Linked DNA regions of Macaca mulatta. The protein of the gene in region 2 purifies or fractionates together with the protein of the main gene of each other region. This does not show direct contact. Links are inferred from orthologs where the notes say so. Each region holds a gene or a part of one and is shown on either strand. Other genes may lie near its edges.

Region 1 (10,591 bases), on a different chromosome or scaffold from region 2:
GGGGAGCTTGCTGGTCTTTGCAGCGTGCACACACAGCGCGCGGGGTAGGCGCCACATACTGAGCTCAGAATTCGGAAGGAGCCTAAGGCCGGTCGAGTTGCTGAAATAGAGCCCCGCCCCCCGCCCGAGAGAACCCATTGGGCAGACCCGATCCCTCCCACAGGGTACGACCCCGCCACCGCCCCGTCGGCCCCTAGTCTTCCGGAGATGCCTGCGGCTGAATCCTGCCTGGAACAATGGGAGTGCCATAGGGAGGAGTGGGCTGCTGCCATCTGGTGAAAGACTCCGGGAGCCACGGCTCCAGCTAGGAATTCTTTTCAGCAAAATATTGGCTCTGAAGTATAGCAGGCTATAGCAGGGGTTCTGAAACTGTAAAATGCCTGAAGTTACCTGGTGGTCGTGGTAAATGCTCATTCTGATTCAGTAAGTCTGGGCTAGGGTCGGAGAGCCGACATTCCTAACCAGCTCCTTAGCGATGGCGATGCCTCTGGTCCCTGGAGTAGCCAAGGGAGGGTTTGTATTGAGGGGCGGGGGAAGGGTTGTTTGTTTTCACTGTTTTGGTAAATTACAAATGAAAGATTTGTAATTAATGATAAATATTAGATTGTTGCATTTCCTCTATAAATACCCTGCCTAGGTATATTCTTACTTTATTTTTTATTTATTTATTTATTTATTTATTTATTTATTTTGTTTTTTTGGAGACGGAGTTTCGATCTTGTTGCCCGAACTAGAGTGCAATGGCGCGATCTCGGCTCACTGCAACCTCCGCCTCCCGGGTTCAAGCGGATTCTCCTGCCTCAGCCTCCCAGTAGCTGCGATTACAGGTGTGTGCCACCACACCCAGCTAATTTTTTTGTATTTTTAGTAGAAACGGGGTTTCACCATGTTAGCCAGACTGGTCTGGAACTCCTGACCTCTGATCTGCCCACCTCAGTCTCTCAAAGTCCTGGGATTACAGGTGTGAGCCACTGCATCCGTCCTATTCTTGCTTTTTTTTTTTTTTTTTTTTTTTTTTTAGAGGGAGTCTTGCACTGTCCCTGGGGCTGGAGTCCAATGGCTCAATCTCAGCTCACTGCCACCTCCACCTTCTGGGTTCAGGCGATTCTCCTGCCTCAGCCTCCTGCGTAGCTGGGATTTCAGGCGCCCACTACCACACTTGGCCAATTTTTTGTATTTTGAATATTGAGGGGGTTTCACTATGTTGGCTAGACTGGTCTCGAACTCCTGACCTCGTGATCCACCCACCTCAGCCTCCCAAAGTGCTGGGATTACAGGTATGAGCCACAGCACCCGGCTCTTACTTTTAAAGAATAAAGACAGTTTTGATCAATTTCCTTCATTCTCCATTTCTTCTGTCTTCCTACACTATCCTTTCACTCGTGCATGCCCCATCTCATTTCACAATAACTGGGCCAACCCTATAAGAAGGAAATACTAATATCTCAATTGGCATTATTTGAACATGAGTTTAAAATATGCTTGCCCATGCTAGAGTGCCGTGGCAAGATCATGGCTTACTGAAGCCTCAACCTCCAGGGCTCTAGTGATCCTCCTACCTCAACCTCCTGAGTCGCTGGGACTACAGGCATGCTACCACACCCAGCTAATTTTTGTGGGTTTTTTGTAAAGACGAGGTTCCCCCATGTTGCCCAGGCTGGTCTGCACCTCTTGGCTCAAGGGATCTGCCCACCTCGGCCTCCCAAACTGCTGGGATTACAGGCTTGAACCACTGGCCTCCCAAACTGCTGGGATTACAGGCTTGAGCCACCGCTCCTGGCCCCTTTCATCTCTGCATTCAAGCATGAGCTTTATCTCTTCCACCCTTATAATAAAAATGATTTGAACAAACACTCTGCATGTATCAAGCAGCTACCAGAAACTGCAGTTAGTACTAGGCATACATGCAAGATGCTTCCTTTTGTAAATGCTACGGTTTTTTCCTATTAGGGCAAGGACCATCTCTGACTCATCCTTGCATTGCTCCACAGTTCCTAGCATTGTTCCAAGTTTATGCTCACTTATATGAGTGTATGAACAAATGAACCAATGAATAACACCTTCGAAGGAGTAACAATGCCCTATCTGACATCGGTAATCTCTATCAACAACCCTGCTGCTGTCTTCCATCTACACGGAGGACCACAGTGCTAATTTTTCTAATTTTAATTCTCAGACTTCTTTTGTGTGTGTTTTTTTTGTTTTGTTTTGTTTTTTGAGGCAGAGTCTCACTCTGTCGCCAGGTTGGAGTACAGTGGCGCAATCTCAGCTCACCACAACCTCCACCTCCCAGGTTCAAGTGATTCGCCTGCCTCAGCCTCCTGAGTAGCTGGGACTACAGGTACGCACCATCACACCCAGCTAATTTTTGTATTTTTAGTAGAGACAGGGTTTCACCACGTTGGCCAGGATGGTCTCGATTTCCTGACCTTGTGATCCACCCACCTCAGCCTCCCAAAGTGCTGGGATTACAGGCATTAGCCACCGCACCCAGCTAATTCTCAGACATTTTAACTGACTCTCATCACTTTCTATCAGCCAACAAAGATTCTTTGTCTGCATATTCCAAAACCACATTATTTATTCTTTTCTCTTCCATTCACTTCCACGAAATTAAAACACATAGACAGATGCACTGAGGATTAGGAGCAATACATAGTGTCCTCAAGGAGTGTTGGCTTCCCTCTCTTCAAGTCAAGAAGAGAAGTGTGGCCATCCTTCTAAACCAATTCTGGCTGGCTGGGCACAGTGGCTCATACCTGTGATCCCAGAACTTTGGGAGGCCAAGGTGGAAGGATCACTTAGTGATCAGGAGTTCGAGACCAGCCTGGCCAACACGGTGAAACCCCATCTCTACTAAAAATACAAAAATTAGCCAGATGTGGTGGTGCACATCTGAAGGTCCAGCTACTTGGGAGGCTGAGCCTGGAGAATCGCTTAAACCCAGGATGTGGAGGTTGCAGAGCACCAAGATCGTGCCATTCCATTCCAGCCTGGGGGACAGAGCAAGACCCTGTCTCAAAAAATAACTAAATAAGCCGATTCTGGGAAAATAGGCACCAGCAACTGCTCACACTGAAAATAGGGATTGCATCCTTTTTCTACCTTGTTTTTTCAAAACTCCTGTTAGCCCTGCTTAACAGGAGTTCAGGAAAAATCAGAAATGATGAATTGTAATGAGGCTGAGCAGGAAGAGACAGAATTAAATGAATCATATATGAAAGCACTTTGAAAACTGCAAAGCCCTATAGAAATTAAAATGTAGTGGCTAAACTCAGGACACCTTAAAACAGTTCTGTATTAAAAGTGGCAGAGGAACCAGGTACTGTGGCTCACGCCTGTAGTCCCAGCACTTTGAGAGACCAAGGAGGGCAAATCAAGAGTCAGGGCGATCAGGAGTTCGAGACCAGCCTGACCAACATGGTCAAGTGCCATCTCTACTAAAAATACAAAAATTAGCCGAGCCTGGTGGTGTATGCCTGTATTCCCAGCTATTTGGGAGACTGAGGGATGAGAATGACTTGAACCCGGGAGGCAGAGGCTGCAGTGAGCCGAGATTTTGCCACTGCACTCCAGCCTGGGAGACAGAGCAAACTTGTCTCAAAAAGAAGAAAGAAAGAATTTAATAGACAGGAGGCCACCCACGCCGTGTGGGAGACAGAGTTATTACTCAAATCAATCTCTTGGAGAATTCAGGGACTAGTGTTTTCCAAAGATAGTTTGGGGAAGGGATGGAATGGCTAAGCAATGGGTTCTTGCTGCTTACTGGCTGGGGATGCAGTCATTGGGGTGTGGGAAATTGTCCTCAAGCAGGTCAATAGCTTCTGTGTGGGACCACAGAAGCGGTTAGAGCTTCAGGTGGAACCATTGGTAGTCATACATGCAAAATACCTGAAAAGATATCTCAAAATGCCAATCTTAGGGTCTACAATAGTGATGTTATCTGGAAGAGTAATTGGAAAAGTTGCGTACCTTGTGACCTCTGGGATAATGACTGGCAACGGTTTATGTCTACACCTTAGCAGAATTCAGCCTCCTTTATCCTTCTACCCTTGTGATTTCTTATTAGCTTTACAAAGGCGGTTGGCTTTTGGGGAAGGGTTATTATCATTTAAACTATAAACTAAATATCTCCCAAAGTTACACTGACTGGCCCAAGCCCAGGAATAATTAAGGGCAGCTTGAAGGCTAAAAGCAAAATAGGGGTTAGCTAGATCAGATCTCTCCCGCTGCCGTAATTTTCTCCCTGTTACAATTTTTGCAAAGGCGATTCCAAGATAATCTTTAAAGAATGGGGTGGGTTGAGGGAAGGGCCTTCCAGGCCGAGTGAACAGCAAATGCAGAGGGCTTGCCTGAGGAACAACAGGTTCAGCGCGCCAGCGGCTGGGCAGGGGGACACACCAGGACCAGTGACCTGGTGCCCAGTCCACATAACCTTGTTTGCCATTGTAAAAAGTAAAATAGAGGTTCCTCTTCAAAGACTTTCCTCCCCATCTAATTAGGAATAAATAGTAACCTCTCTTAAAAGCAAAATTTATTCAAAGACCTGTGCTAACATTCTTAAATATCTGCTAGCTATAATAAAATAAATGTAGTTTATGTTCTTAGCTCCCACAATTTAGCCTAAATTTTTTGCCCTGGCATGCTTATACTAGTCCAAGCAAGCATTAGGTCATAGCCTGTTCCTCTTCCTTATTTAAAAGTGTTTTTGTCTTTCTCCACATTCCACAAGGTACTTCTTCCTTCCTTTGTTCTCCTCTACCTTTGCCTCTTTTAAAAAGTTCCAAGTTGCTAGCCAATCCCGAGGAATACAAAATGTGAGGTCCTGTTCCAGCCAATAAAAACCAGCCACAGCAGTAAGGTAAACGCCTCAGCTTACAAATGACCCTGTCTCCTTTGTTCAGTGTACTCTCCTGGCAAAACTGCTGGTGGGCGTACCCTTTCTGCAGAAAGTAAAAATGGCCTTACTCAATAAATTAAATTTATGTTCAAGTGCTATTTCTTTATGACACCGAAAAACAAACATTTCAAACACCATGCTGAGAACTCAGTCCTTGTTTTGGGGAGGGGTGCACTTGGAAGATTCCAGCTAAGGTACAATCGTCCCTCGGTATCTGCCTGTCATTGTTTTCAGGACCCCCACAGATACCAACATAGGCCATGCTCGAGCCCCTTATATTATGTGGTGGTGCACAGTGTGTCCTTCCCATCCGCAGGTTTGGCATCTGTGGATAGGGAGTGGATACGGAGGGCGGACTATACCGCTTGAAAGGCTTCCCTGGAAGCAATATGTAGAGTGGGTAGCGGAGGAGCAAGAATGGAAGCAAGGAGGCTTGTCCAGAGCATACAGGCGAAGGATGTACGGCCAAGGGGGGAATCCCAGACGACCGCGATTCGTGACATATTTTTGTTTGCACGAAAATAAAGTTTGAAAGAAAAGTGTTGGGGGAACAAGGGATTCATTTTCCCACGGTAGTTGAAATGCAATGGCTACGCCTCAAGCCGCTGCAACATGCTGGCCTCCGTGCGGGGGCGCCCAAACAGGCGCGCCGCCGGGCCTTCCGGCCGCACCGCCGGAAGTGCTCTCCTGACCCTCCGCTGCGCAGCTCATCGCACCGCAGGAAGATGGCGTTGGAGGTTGGCGACATGGAAGATGGGCAGCTTTCCGACTCGGATTCCGACATGACGGTCGCACCCAGCGACAGGACGCTGCAATTGCCGGTGAGTGTGAAAGGAGGGTGGGTTATCGTGGCTGGGCGCGCCGAGCCTGGGCCGCGGAAAGCGCGCAGGCAGCGGTGAGGGTGAGGGGTGAGAGCTAGGAGCCCGGTCCGGACCGGGCTGCTCGGTCAGTGGCGGCAGAAATGGCGAGCAGGCGTCCCCCGGGCGGGCTCACGGAGCCCGGGCTGCAGGGGCCGGCAGCGAGGGGCGGAGGCGGCGGCAGCGGCTGGGCGTGCGAGCCCCAACCTGGCGGCTCCCTGCGAGGTCGGGCGCGCGAGCCCTGGCGCCTCCTGGAGGCTGGCTTGGCGGCTGTCTCTTGGCGGTCTCACCTCCACCTACCGCTCTTTGTTTTTTTCTAAACTTAGGGCTTCCCCACTCCAGCGCCGCTAGGTGACCATTAAGGGGCAGATTTTGCCAGATGTGTAGCATCTGGGGACATCGGCCTGAAACAGCCTGTGGTGCTCCTTTTCTCCCTGAGACAGAGACTGAGGCCCAGGAATGAAGTTTATCAGAGTTCACTTAAAGAGCTGGTTTTCCTTGTTTCCACCGAACCTAGCTTTGTCATGCGGTACCATGGCACTAGGTTTTTGTGGTAGCTTCTCTGGTTTTGTTTGTTGTTTTAAGACAGAGCCTCACTCTGTCACCCAGGCTGGAGTGTAGTGGCGCAGTCTTGGCTCACTGCAACCTCCGCCTCCCGGGTGCAAGCGATTCTCCTGCCTCAGCCTCCCGAGTAGCTGGGATTACAGGGGCCTGCGGCCACGCCCGGCTAATTTTTATATTTTTGGTAGACAAGGAGTTTCACCATGTTGGCCAGGCTGGTCTCGAACTCCTGCCTCAAGTGATCCACCCGCCTTGGGCTCCTGAAGTGCTGGAATTACAGGCGTGAGCCACCGCGCCCAGCCTAGTTTTTGTATTTTTATTAGAGACGGGGATTCTCCATGTTGGCCATGGCTGGTCTTGAACTCCTGACCTCAAGTGATCCACCTGCCTCGGCCTCCCAAAGTGCTGTGATTAGAGGCGCGAGCCACCGCGCCGGGCCCAGCTTCCCTGCTTTCTAAACGGTAATTTGTCTTGACTGCCTTAGTAGGTAGCAACCTCTTTGAGGGGGCTTTGGTGCCAGATTGCCTGTGTTCAGATCCTGGGGCCACCGATGTGTGACCTACAGCAGGTTTATTTAGCCTAACTGCTTTTTGTCTCCATCTATGGAATTGGCATGATGTTCCACTGATAGGGTTATTGCAAGGATTCTATGGAGCATACAGTGCGCGGTAATGCCTGAAAAGTGTTATCTCTGATCATTATTTGAAGATAGTGGGAGATAGATCCTCCCTACTTGCGTTTCCAGCGTAGTAGGAGTTTTAACAAATACAAATACTTGCTTTTGCATATAAATGTTTAGGAAATTAGTACCAAGATATTTTGTTTTTCAATCTCAGGTTGTTTTTACATAAATTGACCCATGACTTGGTAAATAAACTTAATGCTGTGGACTGTGGGGTTTTAAAAATATGCCCAGGCCGGGTGCGGTGGCTCACGCCCGTAATCCCAGCACTTTGGGAGGCCGAGGCAGGTGGATCACGAGGTCAGGAGATTGAGACCATCCTGGCTAACACAGTGAAACCCCGTCTCTACTAAAAATACAAAAAAATTAGCCGGGCGTGGTGGCAGGCACCTGTAGTCCCAGCTACTTGGGAGGCTGAGGCAGGAGAATGGCCTGAACCCGGGAGACAAAGCTTGCAGTGAGCCAAGATCGCACCACTGCACTCCAGCCTGGGTGACAGTGCGAGACTCCCTCTAAAAAAAAAAAAAAAAAAAAAACATGCCCAGCCTAGGCAATATGGCAGAACCCCATCTCTACAAAAAATGCAAAAAAAAAAAAAAATTAGCTGGTTATGGTGAGGGTTGCCTGTAGTCGCAGTCCCTCAGGAGGCTGAGGTAGGAGGATTGCTTGAACCTGGGAGGTTGAGGCTGCGGTGAGCCATGATTGCTCCACTGCACTCCAGCCTGGGCCACAGAACAAAACTTTGTCTCAAAAAAAAAAAGTAACAATTATTATGTATGTCATTTTAAAACATTCTGACAATAACTGAAAAGTTTGAAATCTTTTAAAGGTGACAAGAACTTTGGTAATATAGTAAAAGGATATCTTAGAACAAAGTGCTGCATTAGTTGTAAAGATAAGAATTTGTGGCTTTTAAATTGGCGAATTCCATGTGGAACTTAGAAAAGTAAGGATTTGATTGGTCTCAGACTTGTCTTTGAAGATCAGTTCCTTTTGGAATGGCGCGGTTGAATCTCTAAATTTTTAAAAATTAGGTAGGTGGAGTTTATGTGTTTTGTGAAATGGATTGTGTTTCTTTTCACTTGCAGAAAGTGCTAGGTGGCGACAGTGCTACGAGGGCCTTCCAGAACACAGCAACGACATGTGCGCCAGTATCACATTATCGAGCTGTTGAAAGCGTGGATTCAAGTGAAGAGAGTTTTTCTGATTCAGATGATGATAGCTGTCTTTGGAAACGCAAACGACAGAAATGTTTTAACCCTCCTCCCAAACCAGAGCCTTTTCAGTTTGGCCAGAGCAGTCAGAAACCACCTGTTGCTGGAGGAAAGAAGATTAACAACATATGGGGTGCTGTGCTGCAGGAACAGAATCAAGATGCAGTGGCCACTGAACTTGGTATCTTGGGAATGGAGGGCACTATTGACAGAAGCAGGCAATCCGAGACCTACAATTATTTGCTTGCTAAGAAACTTAGGAGGGAATCTCAAGAGCATACAAAAGATCTAGACAAGGAACTAGATGAATATATGCACGGTGGCAAAAAAATGGGATCAAAGGAAGAGGAAAATGGGCAAGGTCATCTCAAAAGGAAACGACCTGTCAAAGACAGGCTGGGGAACAGACCAGAAATGAACTATAAAGGTCGATATGAGATCACAGAGGAAGATTCTCAAGAGAAAGTGGCTGATGAAATTTCATTCAGGTGAACATTTGAATTACAAATAAGTACTTGACCAGATGGCTTCTATTTACAGGAAATAAATGCCAAATACTTTAATGATATGTTCCCCTCTTTTTTTTTTTTTTTGAGATTTTTTTTTCTTTTTCTTTTTCCTTTTTTCTTTTTTCTTTTTGTTTTTTTTGAGACAGCGTCTTGCTCTGTCACCCATGCTGGAGTGCAGTTAGTTGCTCACTGCAACCTCCGCCTCCTGGCTCAAGGGATTCTCCCACCTCAGCCTCCTGAATAGCTGGGACCACAGACACGCACCCCCACACCCAACTATTCTTTGTATTTTTAGTAGAGACAGGGTCTTACCATGTTGTCCAAGCTACTCTCGAACTCCAGAGCTCAAGGGATCCACCCGCCTTCGCCTCTCAAAGTGCTGGGATTACAGGCGTGAGCCAAGAGCTGGCCTAATTTATTTTTTTTTGGAGGGGAGAGGATCTCACTCTGTTGCCCAGGCTGGAGTGCAGTGCTACAATCACACCTCACTGGAGCCTAGAATTCTTGGGCTGAAGGGATTCTTCCACCTCAGCTTCCTAAGTAGCTGGGACTACAGACTCAGGCCATGATGCCTGGCTAATTTAAAAAAAAAAAAAAAAAAGATGGCCAGGCACGGTGCCTCACGCTTGTAATCCCAGCACTTTGGGAGGCCAAGGTGGGTGGATCATGAGGTCAGGAGTTTGAGACCAGCCTGGCCAAAACAGTGAAACCCCGTCTCTACTAAAAATACAAAAATTAGCTGGGCATGGTGGTGGACACCTATAATCCCAGCTACTTGGGAGGCTGAGGCAGGAGAATTGCTTGAACCTGAGAGGCAGAGGTTGCAGTGAGTCGAGATTGTGTTACTGCACTCCAGGGTAGGCAACAGAGCTAGACTCCATCTCAAAAAAAAAAAAAAAAAATTAGGAGTTTCACTATGTTGCCCAGGCTGGTGTCAAACTCTTGGGTGCAAGCAGTCCTCCCACATTGGTCTCCCAAAGTGCTGGGATTATATGCATGAGCCACTGCGCTGTCCGCAGATTTTTTTGTTTTTGTTTTTTAAGAGACGATCTTGCTCTGGTCACTCAACTGGAGTGCAGTAGCACAATCATAGCTCACTGAAGCTGAACTCCTGGGCTCAAGCAATCCTGCCTCAGCTTTCCAGATTGCTGGGATTATAGGTATGAGCCACTGTGCCTGACTTTTTTTGAGGCTTTTTCTTTAAGGAACTGGGGTAATTTGGTTATATGAATACATTTGTATTGTATTTTTCAGTTTGTTTTTTTGGTTTGTTTTTTTAGACAGTCTTGTTCTGTCACCCAGGCTGGAGTGCAGTGGTGTTATCTTGGCTCACTGCAACCTCCCCTCCCGAGTTCAAGCAATTCTCGTGTCTCAGCCACCTGGGTAACCTGGATTATAGGCATTCACCACCACATTCAAATACTTTTTTTTGTTTTGTTTTGTTTTTGTTTTTTGTGTTTTTAGTAGAGATGGGGTTTCAGTATGTTGGCCGGGCTGGTCTTGAACTCCTGGCTTCAAGTGATTTGCCTGCCTTGGCCTCCCAGAGTGCTGGGATTACAGGCATGAGCTGCACACCAGCTGTATTTTCTTAAATTTGAACAAGCCTGATAGAATAATTTTGCAGACTTTTATGAACTGTTAAACAACTCGTTGCATTTAGTGCCATAGAGCTTTTTAAATAAAGCATATCTTTTTAAATCATGAGTTGTTTTTGTTTGTTTAGTGTTTTCAAGAAATTATCCCTTTTTTCTTAACTTTGAGGTATAATTTACAGATAATAATATTCACCCATTTCTAGTGTTAATTTTTTTAGGAAACATATCAAGTTGTATAACCATCACCTTTGAAACATTTCCGTCACCCAGTAA
Region 2 (10,428 bases):
CTGTCTTTCTAAAAGTGTAGTGGTTTGGGCTAAAGACTAACCAACATTATAGATCCAATCTGTTGTCAAAGAACACAATTTCTGACCGGGTAACAAAATAAATCTGATCATCTGACACATGGCCAAGAGTCTCAGACAGTAATTAAAGGCATTCTTTTGGGTTCTGTCCTTTAATAACTTTCAGAGGCTTCCAGTTCAGTAAAGACACTGATCAAAGCTTGGTAAAAATGGGCTCGTTTGCAGACTTTTGGTGATGTTTTTCAATCAATTCAACAAGCCAAACGAGTGCTAGTCACTGACAGAGTTCTCATCACTCACTGGTTCTGGGCCAGTTTTCCATAGCCTCCTCTTCCAGCGTCATAGTCCTGCCGATACTCATCCCGAACCTTTAATGGAAAGAATCCAGAGTTACAGTATGGAAAAGAATGGTGTAACATATATGTCTCCCATAAACACGTTAGACAAACAGTGAAACCTGTTCAGATGCCATAATGTGAACATTTCAAGCAGGACATATGCACTTCAACTCATTTCAGTGCATTCTGCTTTCATTCTAGATGTTCCTGCCGGTGGAATCTAGCCCCTAGCAGAAGTTCAAGAATGGTTGCTTATTAGAAACGTACAGGACTTATATTTCAGGGTTTAAAAAATTCACCCAAACCGTTGGGTGGTTTTCAGATCCACTTCAAGCCAAGGTTATAGACACAAAGTTATTTACAAAAGAGTAAATACAAATTGCCAAAACACCTGTCATTGTGACTGGAATCCCAGGCAACGGGCTGAGCCCAGAGACCCTTCTCGCATACCTGGCCCCCAGATCGCCCACGGCCGTACTGCCTGCCCTCCTTAAAGCCTGCGTCCCAGTCTGTGCGAATGATTCGGTCATCCAGACGTGTTCCATTTATGTACCGCATGGCATTTTCGGCATCTGCACGTGAGTAATATCTTAAGTATTAAGGAACACTACCATTTTTCCAAACATTTCTGGAAATAGGGGAACAACATGTAAATGAAGCTGCATTGTTAAAAAGTACAAGAGCTAATCTAATCAGATGTAGTTCAGAGACAGCAGTTCAGCTTGCACAGGCCTGTCTGCCATGGTTTGGAAGCACAGAGAGTCAAACATGACACGTCTCCGTGGCTGCACTGATCAGATTTGTTGGACATTCCTGTTGATAATTTTTGGTCCCATCATCTCCGTATTTGGTTTGCAAAATATAAGATAATTCAGTGCAGGTTTGGACCACTGTACACTTCTTATCCAAGAAACAAGTGCTATATATTCAAGTTAGGTGCCATATATTCCAGGGCACCTTAATAAAGAGAGGGTCACAGTGCATGTGGAATTGCGCTGCGTTTCACTAAAGGAAAGACTCAAGGTATCACCAGGGTAGCAGTCCCCAAACCTACTTCATCAGAGAGAGCTCCCTTTAATTAAAGGGGAGGACATTTAATCCCAGACAAATAAAAATAAGACAATGGTGTTGTGAATAAACCATCTGGAGGAACTAGTGTCTTTGATGTTAGCAGGCCAAAATAAAATCTCTTTTCATTCTAGCATTTGGGAAACCCACATATCCCCAAGGCAAGCCAGCAATCTGGGAGAGATGCCCTGCCTGGGTCCAGTGAGTCAGCATTCTTGTCCTTAATTATGAGCAGAAATCCAGGGATCACCAGACACTTAAGGAAAAATTTCATCTGAAACAAATGTAATTCAGGACACAGGAAAAAACTCAAAAGATACATTAGATTGGGTCTGCAAAATTTCTCAGAATACTAAATTGAATGACCAAAACAGAGAGTAAAAAGAACACAGAATAAATCCAGGAGGTACAATGCTTAAAAGAGTCTGAGTAAGAAAATGATCACAAGTAAATAGTTTTGGTTTGTACCTATACAATCAGCTTATACACACCTATGTAATGAATTACGATATAGCTATTAAAACATTTTTTTCTTTAAAGATGGGGTCTTGCCCTGTCACCCTGGCAGGAGCACAGTACAACTCAGTGTAGCCTTGGACCCTTGGGCTCAACTGATCCTCCAGCCTCAGCCTCCTGAGTAGCTGGCACTACAAATACGAGCCACCATGCCCAGCTATACGGCTATTTTGAAAACAGACCTACATGTGCTGAAATGGAACAATAAATAAATAATAAATGATTTTAAAAACAGCACATGAAGTACACTACTGCACACCCACAGGTTACTTCTTGAGAGATGCTCAAGAAACTGGTAACTGCCTCTGGCAAAGGGAATTAGGGGTTTAGAACAGTACAAGGTTTTTTTATTTTCACTGTGCTCTTTGGAATTTTTTTTTTTTTTTTAATGAAGGGCAAACATTCTTGAAAAACTTTTTCTTTTTTTTTTGGAGACGGAGTCTCGCTCTGTCGCCCAGGCTGGAGTGCAGTGGCCAGATCTCAGCTCACTGCAAGCTCCGCCTCCCGGGTTCACGCCATTCTCCTGCCTCAGCCTCCCGAGTAGCTGGGACTACAGGCGCCCGCCACCTCACCCGGCTAGTTTTTTTTGTATTTTTTAGTAGAGACGGGGTTTCGCCGTGTTAGCCAGGATGGTCTCGATCTCCTGACCTCGTGATCCGCCCGTCTCGGCCTCCCAAAGTGCTGGGATTACAGGCTTGAGCCACCGCGCCCGGCCTGAAAAACTTTTTCTTAAACAACCATAAAGCATGGATTTCAGGAGAGAATGTAACTAGTGTCAGCTTTATAGTATAAGAGCAGTGACGGCCGGGCGCGGTGGCTCAAGCCTGTAATCCCAGCACTTTGGGAGGCCGAGATGGGCGGATCATGAGGTCAGGAGATCGAGACCATCCTGGCTAACACGTTGAAACCCCGTCTCTACTAAAAAAAAAAAAAAATACAAAAACTAGCCGGGCGACGTGGCGGGCGCCTGCAGTCCTAGCTACTCCGGAGGCTGAGGCAGGAGAATGGTGTAAGCTCGGGAGGCGGAGCTTGCAGTGAGCTCAGATCCGGCCACTGCGCTCCAGCCTGGGCGACAGAGCCAGACTCTGTCTCAAAAAAAAAAAAGAGCAGTGACACTGGACAGAAGGTAGGAGGGAGACGAGGGAAAACGTAGGGGCAAGTGCAGGGAGGATTATGAGCTACTATTCTCAGCTCTACCCCAGTTCAGCAGCCACATTCCATCCACAGGAAGGATACTCCACAAAACAGAATCCACATGCTGTTTTCTTCATTTTATCCAGACCCATAATGATTTTCTTTATGTCACCACTTTTGCTGAAGAGTTCGTAGATTTGTTCTTCGGTTGTGTAAAAAGAAAGATTTCCAACATATAACGTACAGCTTTTCTTCAGTAATTTTTCTTGTTCTTCATTGTCACCCTAGAATTTCAAAGAGAGACAAAAGCAACTTCAGAGCCTTGCTTAAATAGTATTTCTAAGTATGGTAGAAACATTCATTAATTCTGATTTGGAAATCAAATTCTCTCATCCCAGCCTACCACAAATCCCTTGCTCAAAAAAAGGGAGATGTTCACATCCTGTGAAGCACTTATGCAAAGTCCAGACTCTTAGTAGAGACAAGGCTCAAAAGTTATACCGCATACAGCAAAGTCACCCTACGCCAGACTGCCACACAAGCGGCTTTTTTCCCTGCACACGCCATCTTCTCAGCAGTGCATCCTTTCAACCAAGGTTAAACTCTGGACCTTGACCCATGTATGACAAAGGGCCCTTTTATACTCTGTAGTGAGAAATAAGTGGATTTCCAGAGAGTCCCCTTTTAATAACCCCATAGAGACTGTTTAAAGCAACAACTCTGATGCTTTACATGCTCATGTATTTTTTCTGAATTGAGGAAAAAAATGTAGTGATCACTAAAAACAAAACAGAGCTCACTTTCCTAATGGGCTTCCAAACTGGGATGACACGATGAAGCCAGAAATAAGAATATAACTGGGCTTCATCCAACACACCTGACAAATCCCTGGATCCAAAATGGCTCATCAGGGTCGCGCACAGCGGCTCACGCCTGTAATCCCAGCACTTTGGGAGGCCGAGGCGAGCGGATCACGAGGTCAGGAGATCGAGACCATCCTGGCTAACACGGTGAAACCCCGTCTCTACTAAAAAACAAAAACAAAAACAAAAACAAAAATATTAGCCGGGCGTGGTGGCGGGGCCTGTAGTCCCAGCTCGCCAGGAGAATGGCGTGAACCCGGGAGGCGGAGCTTGCAGTGAGCCGAGATCGTGCTACTGCACTCCAGCCTGGGTGACAGAGCCAGACCCCGTCTCAAAAAAAGTGCAAATCATGCCTGGCACTTAAGCATCTAAAACCTGGACTGGCCGGGGTCAGTGGTTCACGTCTGTAATCCCAGCACTTTGGGAAGCCCAGGCTGGTGGATCGCTTGAGTCCCAGAGTTTGAGACCGGCCTGAGCAACTCAGGGAGACCCTGTCTCTACAAAAAATTAGCCGGATGTAGTGTGAGAGCCTGTGGTCCCAGCTTCTCAGGAGGCTGAGGTGGGGAGGATCACTTGGGCTCAGGAGGTTGAGGCTGCATGAGCCGTGATTGCGCCACTGCACTTCAGCCTAGGCAATAGAGCGAGATTCTGTCTCAAAAAATAAAATAAATTGACCGAATTTTTTTTTTTTTTTTTTTTTTAAGTAGGAATCTCGCTCTGTTGCCCAGGCTGGAGTGCGGTGGCGCGATCTTGGCTCACCGCAACCTCCACCTTCCGGGATCAAGCAATTCTCCTGCCTCAGCCTTCCGAGTAGCTGGGATTACAGGCGCCGCCACCACGCCCGGCTAATTTTTGTATTTTTAGTAGGGATGGGGTTTCACCATCTCGGCCAGTCTGGTCTCGATCTCCTAACCTCGTGATCCACCCGCCTCAGCCTCCCAAAGTGCTGGGATTACAGGCATGAGTCACCGTGCCCGGCCTCGACTGAATAAATTTCAGAGCTTCCCTAATTTGGCGTCAAAGTTTCCTTTTCCCTACTCTAGTAACATATTTCACACGTTCTCCACACTGACCTCTGCTATATGCGCCCCCTCATTTCCCAGTCACAAGGGGATTTCTCCCCTTTTTCTGAATTCTCACAGCCTCTCTTTTAACTCACTTCCACCTTAGATTCTTTGATAATCCACACTACAGGGGATTATGAGCTCGCAGAGTACAGAAACTGTCTTCCCTTCCCCCCAGGGTTTAGCACAAGGCTTTGGTGACAGCACTCAACAAATGTTTACTAAATAACCGGGTTAATGAGTCCCGCGCCGCCACCCCTCAACCGTATTCCATCCCTACCTTTGCTGATACTGAAAAGCCTACTTTGTATATCTGCGGCCTCCCCTTTTTCCACAAAACATACTGTGATATAGTCCGGACTAAAAATTTCTCTCTTCTGAAATCCAGCAATTCTCCGATCTTCACATCCAAACACCCTCAAAGTGCCCAGCTTGGCGGGTCCCCCTCCCCACTCCGAAGCCTCCCCGAGGGCGGAGTGAGGACTTCACTTGTGTCTCCCACGCACCGCGTACAGCTTCCCTAAGACCATCCTCCCAGAGAAGGGCACTGCTTCGCCGATTTAAAAAAGAACGTAGGCCGGGCGCGGTGGCTCACACCTGTAATCCCAGCACTTTGGGAGGCCGAGATGGGCGGATCACGAGGTCAGGAGATGGAGACCATCCTGGCTAACACAGTGAAACCCCGTCTCTACTAAGAAATACAGAAAAACTAGCCGGGCGAGGTGGTGGGCGCCTGTAGTCCCAGCTACTCGGGAGGCTGAGGCAGGAGAATGGCATAAACCCGGGAGGCGGAGCTTGCAGTGAGCTGAGACCCGGCCACTGCACTCCAGCCTGGGCTACAGAGCGAGACTCCGTCTCAAAAAAAAAAAAAATAAATAAAATAAATAAAAAAAATAAAAAAGAACGTAAAAAGCCCCGAATCTGCATCAAGAAGGCGCCTCTGCACACTCTGGGAGAGAGAAGGGCACCCCGCCCTTGTTACGCAGCCATCTGCGAGGTACAACCTGGAAACGGGAGCCGCCACTACCATCAGCGCTCAGGCCTCTCGGCACCGGCTCGGGTGCAGGGAGCGGCTGGAGGGAACAGGAAAGCGAGCCTCAAATGCCCTGTCTTCCAGAGCCAGCGGCTTCAGTGATGTCCAAGCGCCCCCCCAGCACCCGCTCCCTGCCTCCCCAGCCGGCACCGGGGCCCCACTTGGCGTTTGGGGATTGCAGCAGAACGGGAGGCGACACAATGAGACAAGAGCAAACCGTTTCTCAGCGTTCTGGCCCAGGGCCTTCCCCTCTCGCGGCCCGGCCTCCCTCACCCGGAAGTGCTGGTCCCGGTACTGGCTCAGCTCCACGTAGGAGTCGCTGCGCAGCGCCTTCAGGAGGCCACCCGACATAGCGCAGAGAAGCGGACGAGGACGCGGCGATTCCCGGCACGAGGTGGCGTCTGCCGTGGCGGAAGCGGAAACGCGCGGAAGCGCGCATCTCATTGGACCCAATCCGAGGGCGGCAGTGTCGTCATCAAGCTGCGCGGGCGCAGATGACGTCCGGGTCGGGCGCCGCCGGGCGGAAGACTAGGGCGGCGAGGTCGGATTCCCGGGCGCTTGGGGAAGATGGTGCTTCGGCGGCTGCTGGCGGCCCTGCTGCACAGCCCGCAGCTGGTGGAACGCCTGTCCGAGTCTCGGCCTATCCGACGTGCGGCGCAGCTCACGGCCTTCGCTCTGCTGCAGGCCCAGCTGCGGGGCCAGGACGCGGCCCGCCGCCTGCAGGACCTCGCGGCTGGCCCCGCAGGCTCCCTGTGCCGCCGCGCTGGGCGATTCAGAGACACCTTCACCCAGGAGCTACGCCGCGGCCTCCGTGGCCGTTCGGGGCCACCACCAGGTAGCCAGAGGGGCCCTGGCGCAAACATTTAAGCCTGGGCTGTGCGGGGCCGAGGCCTTTACTTTGCCTTCCGGGCTCTACACTGGCCTCGACGTGGAGGGGTCGTTCCGGGCACTGCGCGCGGCTTCGAACCCCGACTCGGATTGTTGGCCTGCAGACATCCCACGCAGAAGAGCCTAGGCCAGACCGCAGGCTCCGCTGAAGTCCTTTGATTGGACAAGACACCGTGTGGAGAAAGACCCCGAAGCCTAACAGAGATGAAGATAGGCTGGGTCCAGACACCGCACCCGCGGAGAGCCACGGACCGAAGCCAGAGAGCCTTTCCTCTGCAGATGGAACTGACACTCTTGACAGATGCTGCTGAATCTGCACTGGTGTAGCAGGACACTTAATTCCAGGGACGATGTGAATGAAAAGACAACCCTACAACTGCCAAATTCTTTTGATTAAAAAAATGTATGAGCTGGTTAATAGGCATGAGTGTGATACTTCTCAGGCAAGATATATTGAGAATACCGGGGACTGTAGGCCTATGGCAATAATAAACACGTATTTTATGAAATGAGTATTTTGTGCTGGGACTTGCTCATTGCACTCTGCGTGTTATTTCGCTTACTCCTTACAACCACATCCGCATGAGCAAGCAGATTACTTTTTGGATTTTTTTGTAGAGATGGGGTAGTCTCGAACTCTTGGGTCCGAGTGATCGTCCTGCCTCAGCCTCCCAAAATGCTGGGATTAGAGGCAAGAGCCACTCCGATGGAAACAGAGGCTGCTGCTTAAGTTGCCCAAAGTCTTGCAGAGTGGGATGTGAGCAGAGGCATTTGATTCCAGGGCCTAAGTCCTTAACACAGCTCTGCAAGATTTACCCTGATACTTTCCTTCCTTCCCCAACCCCCCATCATCAGGCATTAAGACTACTGCCTAGGAGCAGGCGTGGTGGCAGTTGTGTCTAATCCAAGCCACTGCAGAGGAAGGAGGATCGCATGAGCCTGAGATGAGACCAGCCTGGGCAGCATAGCGAGAACCTGTCTCAAAAATAAAAAAAGACTGCTGCCTGCCATGGAATGAGCTACCTGGACTCATCCCTCATTTTAGAGGGTCAGGCATACGAAACTAAGACTATGGTCCAGCAAGTTAGTGGACCCATGATTAGGAAATCCACTGTATATACAAATGTCTTGTCATTTGAAGCTCCTAGCTAAATTTCTGATTTATTTATTTATTATTTTGAGACAGGGCCTCACTCTTGCCCAGGCTGGAGTGCAGTGGCATGATACTAGCTGTCACTGCAACCTCGACCTATTGGGCCAAGTGATCGAGCTTCCTCCCTGGGTCTCCCAAGTAGCTGGGATTACAGGCCCATGACACTATGCGCAGCTAATTAAAAACAGGTTTTTTTGTTTTTGTTTTTGAGACAGAGTCTTACTTTGTCACCAGGCTGGAGTGCAGTGGCGTGATCTCGGCTCACTGCAACGTCCACCTCCCGGGTTCAAGTGATTCCCCTGCCTCATCCTCCCGAGCAGCTGGGATTACAGATGTGCGCCACCATGCCTGGCTAGTTTTTTGTATTTTAGTAGAAATGGAGTTTCACCATGTTGGTCAGGATGGTCTTGATCTCCTGACCTTGTGATCTGCCTGCCTCAGCCTCCCAAAGTGCTGGGATTACAGGCATGAGCCACCGTGCCCAGCCACAATTTTGTTTTGTTTTGTGTTTTATGGTTGAAATGGCATTGCATTTTGTTTCCCAGGCTGGTCCTGAACTCCTGGTCTCAAGCAGTTCTCCTGCTTCTGCCTCCCAAAGTGCTGGGATTACTGGTGTGAGCCACCACACCCAGATCTGATCATTTCTAATTAGGCAACACAGATAATCATGCAATCTAGAAGCTTGAAGCCATCGGAAAAATTGAGGCTGGTAACCAGACACTAGCTGAGCATGGTGTGTTCCCTGCTCTCTGGGGCAGGATGGGAGGGCTTGAGACCCACAGTTCTTCTAAGGAGGGAGAACATCTGGCTCCCTAATCTGGGAGAATGACTTTTTTTTTTTCCCCCCAAGACCGTCTCGCTGTGTCTCCCAGGCGGGAGTGAGTGGCGCGATCTCGGCTCACTGCAACCTCCGCCTCCTGGGTTCAAGCCATTCTCCTGCCTCAGCCTCCTGAGCAGCTGGGACCACAGGCGCCGCCACCACACCCAGCTAATTTTTGTATTTTTAGTAGAGACAGGGTTTCACCATGTTGGCCAGGCTGGTCTCAACTCCTGACCTCGAGATCTGCCCGCCTTGGCCTCTCAAAGTACTGGGATTACAGGTGTGAGCCACCACGCCCAGTCAGGAGAATGACTCTTAAGGACAAGGTGCAGAAATGGCTGGAGAGTTTCCCACCACCTCTCAGGAACAGGAGTAAAAGAAAGTAGGGAGAAAATCTCCAGGTGCAATTATATATTTCAAACATTACTTGTTTGCAAACACTGAGACAGCAGGCATCAGAGGGCCATGAAGTACGACACAACTCCCACTTCCATGCTTAAAGAGCTTTGTGAGAGCTGTGCCTGTCGAGGACGGGGGACGTGTACTGTGGATTCCAGGAATGACACGATGTTAGCTGGCAGACACCTCAAAGATCCTCTGATCCCAACAGACTGGGAAGTGGGGTGGGAGAGTGGAAGGGGCTTTCTCAAGATCACACAGCGAGGGGGTGACAGACCAAGGGGCTAGAAGTTGGGTCCCCTGGATCTGGGCCACCTGTTCTCTATACTTCATCACACTGACTTCCACATTATTTGGATAGGCAGATCGGTCTCAGGAAGCCAGAGGTTGTCATGACAGCAAGGGCAAGGCATCATGGGAAGTTTGGGAGAGGTCGCTGGGGAATGTCACTGGCAGTTCATTCTTTTTCCCAACCAGGTACTATTACATGTTTCAAACATCACAGTGGCTGGAAGCAGTAGGGCAGGAACCGACAGGTGTCATCACTTACACCTGGTTCTTTGGGGACCTTGACATCAGGACTGACAGGTCAGATCTTTGGTCTCAGGGAGAGGGGTGCCAGCTCACCCAGAAGGCAGAACAGCCGTGCCCAGGAGAGGCAGCAGTGGGAGTCGTGAAGGAGAACCTGGGCCCTGTCCCCGCGTCCCAGCCCAGCTACCCAAGTAGAAGGTGGGGCAGCAACTTCTATGGCTGAATCGTGGGCGGTGGGTGCCCTGTCATATTGTCAGGTTTCTTCCCCCAGCTCCACGATGTGAAGACTGAGGTGGTCCCTCCAAGCCCCACTCAGCAAGGAGGACAGGGCTGGTGGATCCTCCAGGGTTAGATGGGGAAATACAAGTGTTTCATTCTTGAAGGGGAAGCTGCACTTCTCCACGGCACCCCTGGTGGTGCCAGGGGTCACCACAAAGACGCGGCAGAGCCATGGCCCACCAGCCACTTGGCAGGCTGGTTGTCTGGTAAAGCTTTTCAGGGCTTGGCACAGGACCCAGTCCTCAGTCCCACCCATGTCCACCACCTCCACTGGTGCCCCCAGGCCTGGGAGGTGGAGGAGGTGCCGGGGGGGCATGTAGGTGT

Evidence for each region.
Region 1: the proteins of NCBP2 (region 2) and PHAX purify together in Homo sapiens (affinity purification with mass spectrometry; 5 studies listed by BioGRID and IntAct, with this or other methods). This does not show direct contact. The link is inferred for Macaca mulatta from reciprocal best matches to the Homo sapiens genes NCBP2 and PHAX.

What each region holds. Positions count from the first base shown.
Region 1 is NC_133411.1:135,549,871-135,560,461, forward strand, and holds the start of PHAX (phosphorylated adapter RNA export protein), read left to right. Parts: upstream 1-5,600; 5' UTR 5,601-5,625; coding exon 5,626-5,721; intron 5,722-8,088; coding exon 8,089-8,702; intron 8,703-10,591. Other genes in the region: ALDH7A1 (alpha-aminoadipic semialdehyde dehydrogenase), read right to left, coding at 1-57. UniProt on the Homo sapiens protein: A phosphoprotein adapter involved in the XPO1-mediated U snRNA export from the nucleus.
Region 2 is NC_133407.1:2,485,912-2,496,339, forward strand, and holds NCBP2 (nuclear cap-binding protein subunit 2), read right to left. Parts: upstream 6,434-10,428; 5' UTR 6,386-6,433; coding exon 6,308-6,385; exon of another isoform or gene 5,282-6,307; intron 4,102-5,281; exon of another isoform or gene 3,952-4,101; intron 3,359-3,951; coding exon 3,177-3,358; exon of another isoform or gene 3,138-3,176; intron 946-3,137; coding exon 807-945; intron 387-806; coding exon 315-386; 3' UTR 88-314; downstream 1-87. Other genes in the region: protein NCBP2AS2, read left to right, coding at 6,602-6,901; PIGZ (GPI alpha-1,2-mannosyltransferase 4), read right to left, coding at 10,079-10,428. UniProt on the Homo sapiens protein: Component of the cap-binding complex (CBC), which binds co-transcriptionally to the 5' cap of pre-mRNAs and is involved in various processes such as pre-mRNA splicing, translation regulation, nonsense-mediated mRNA decay, RNA-mediated gene silencing (RNAi) by microRNAs (miRNAs) and mRNA export.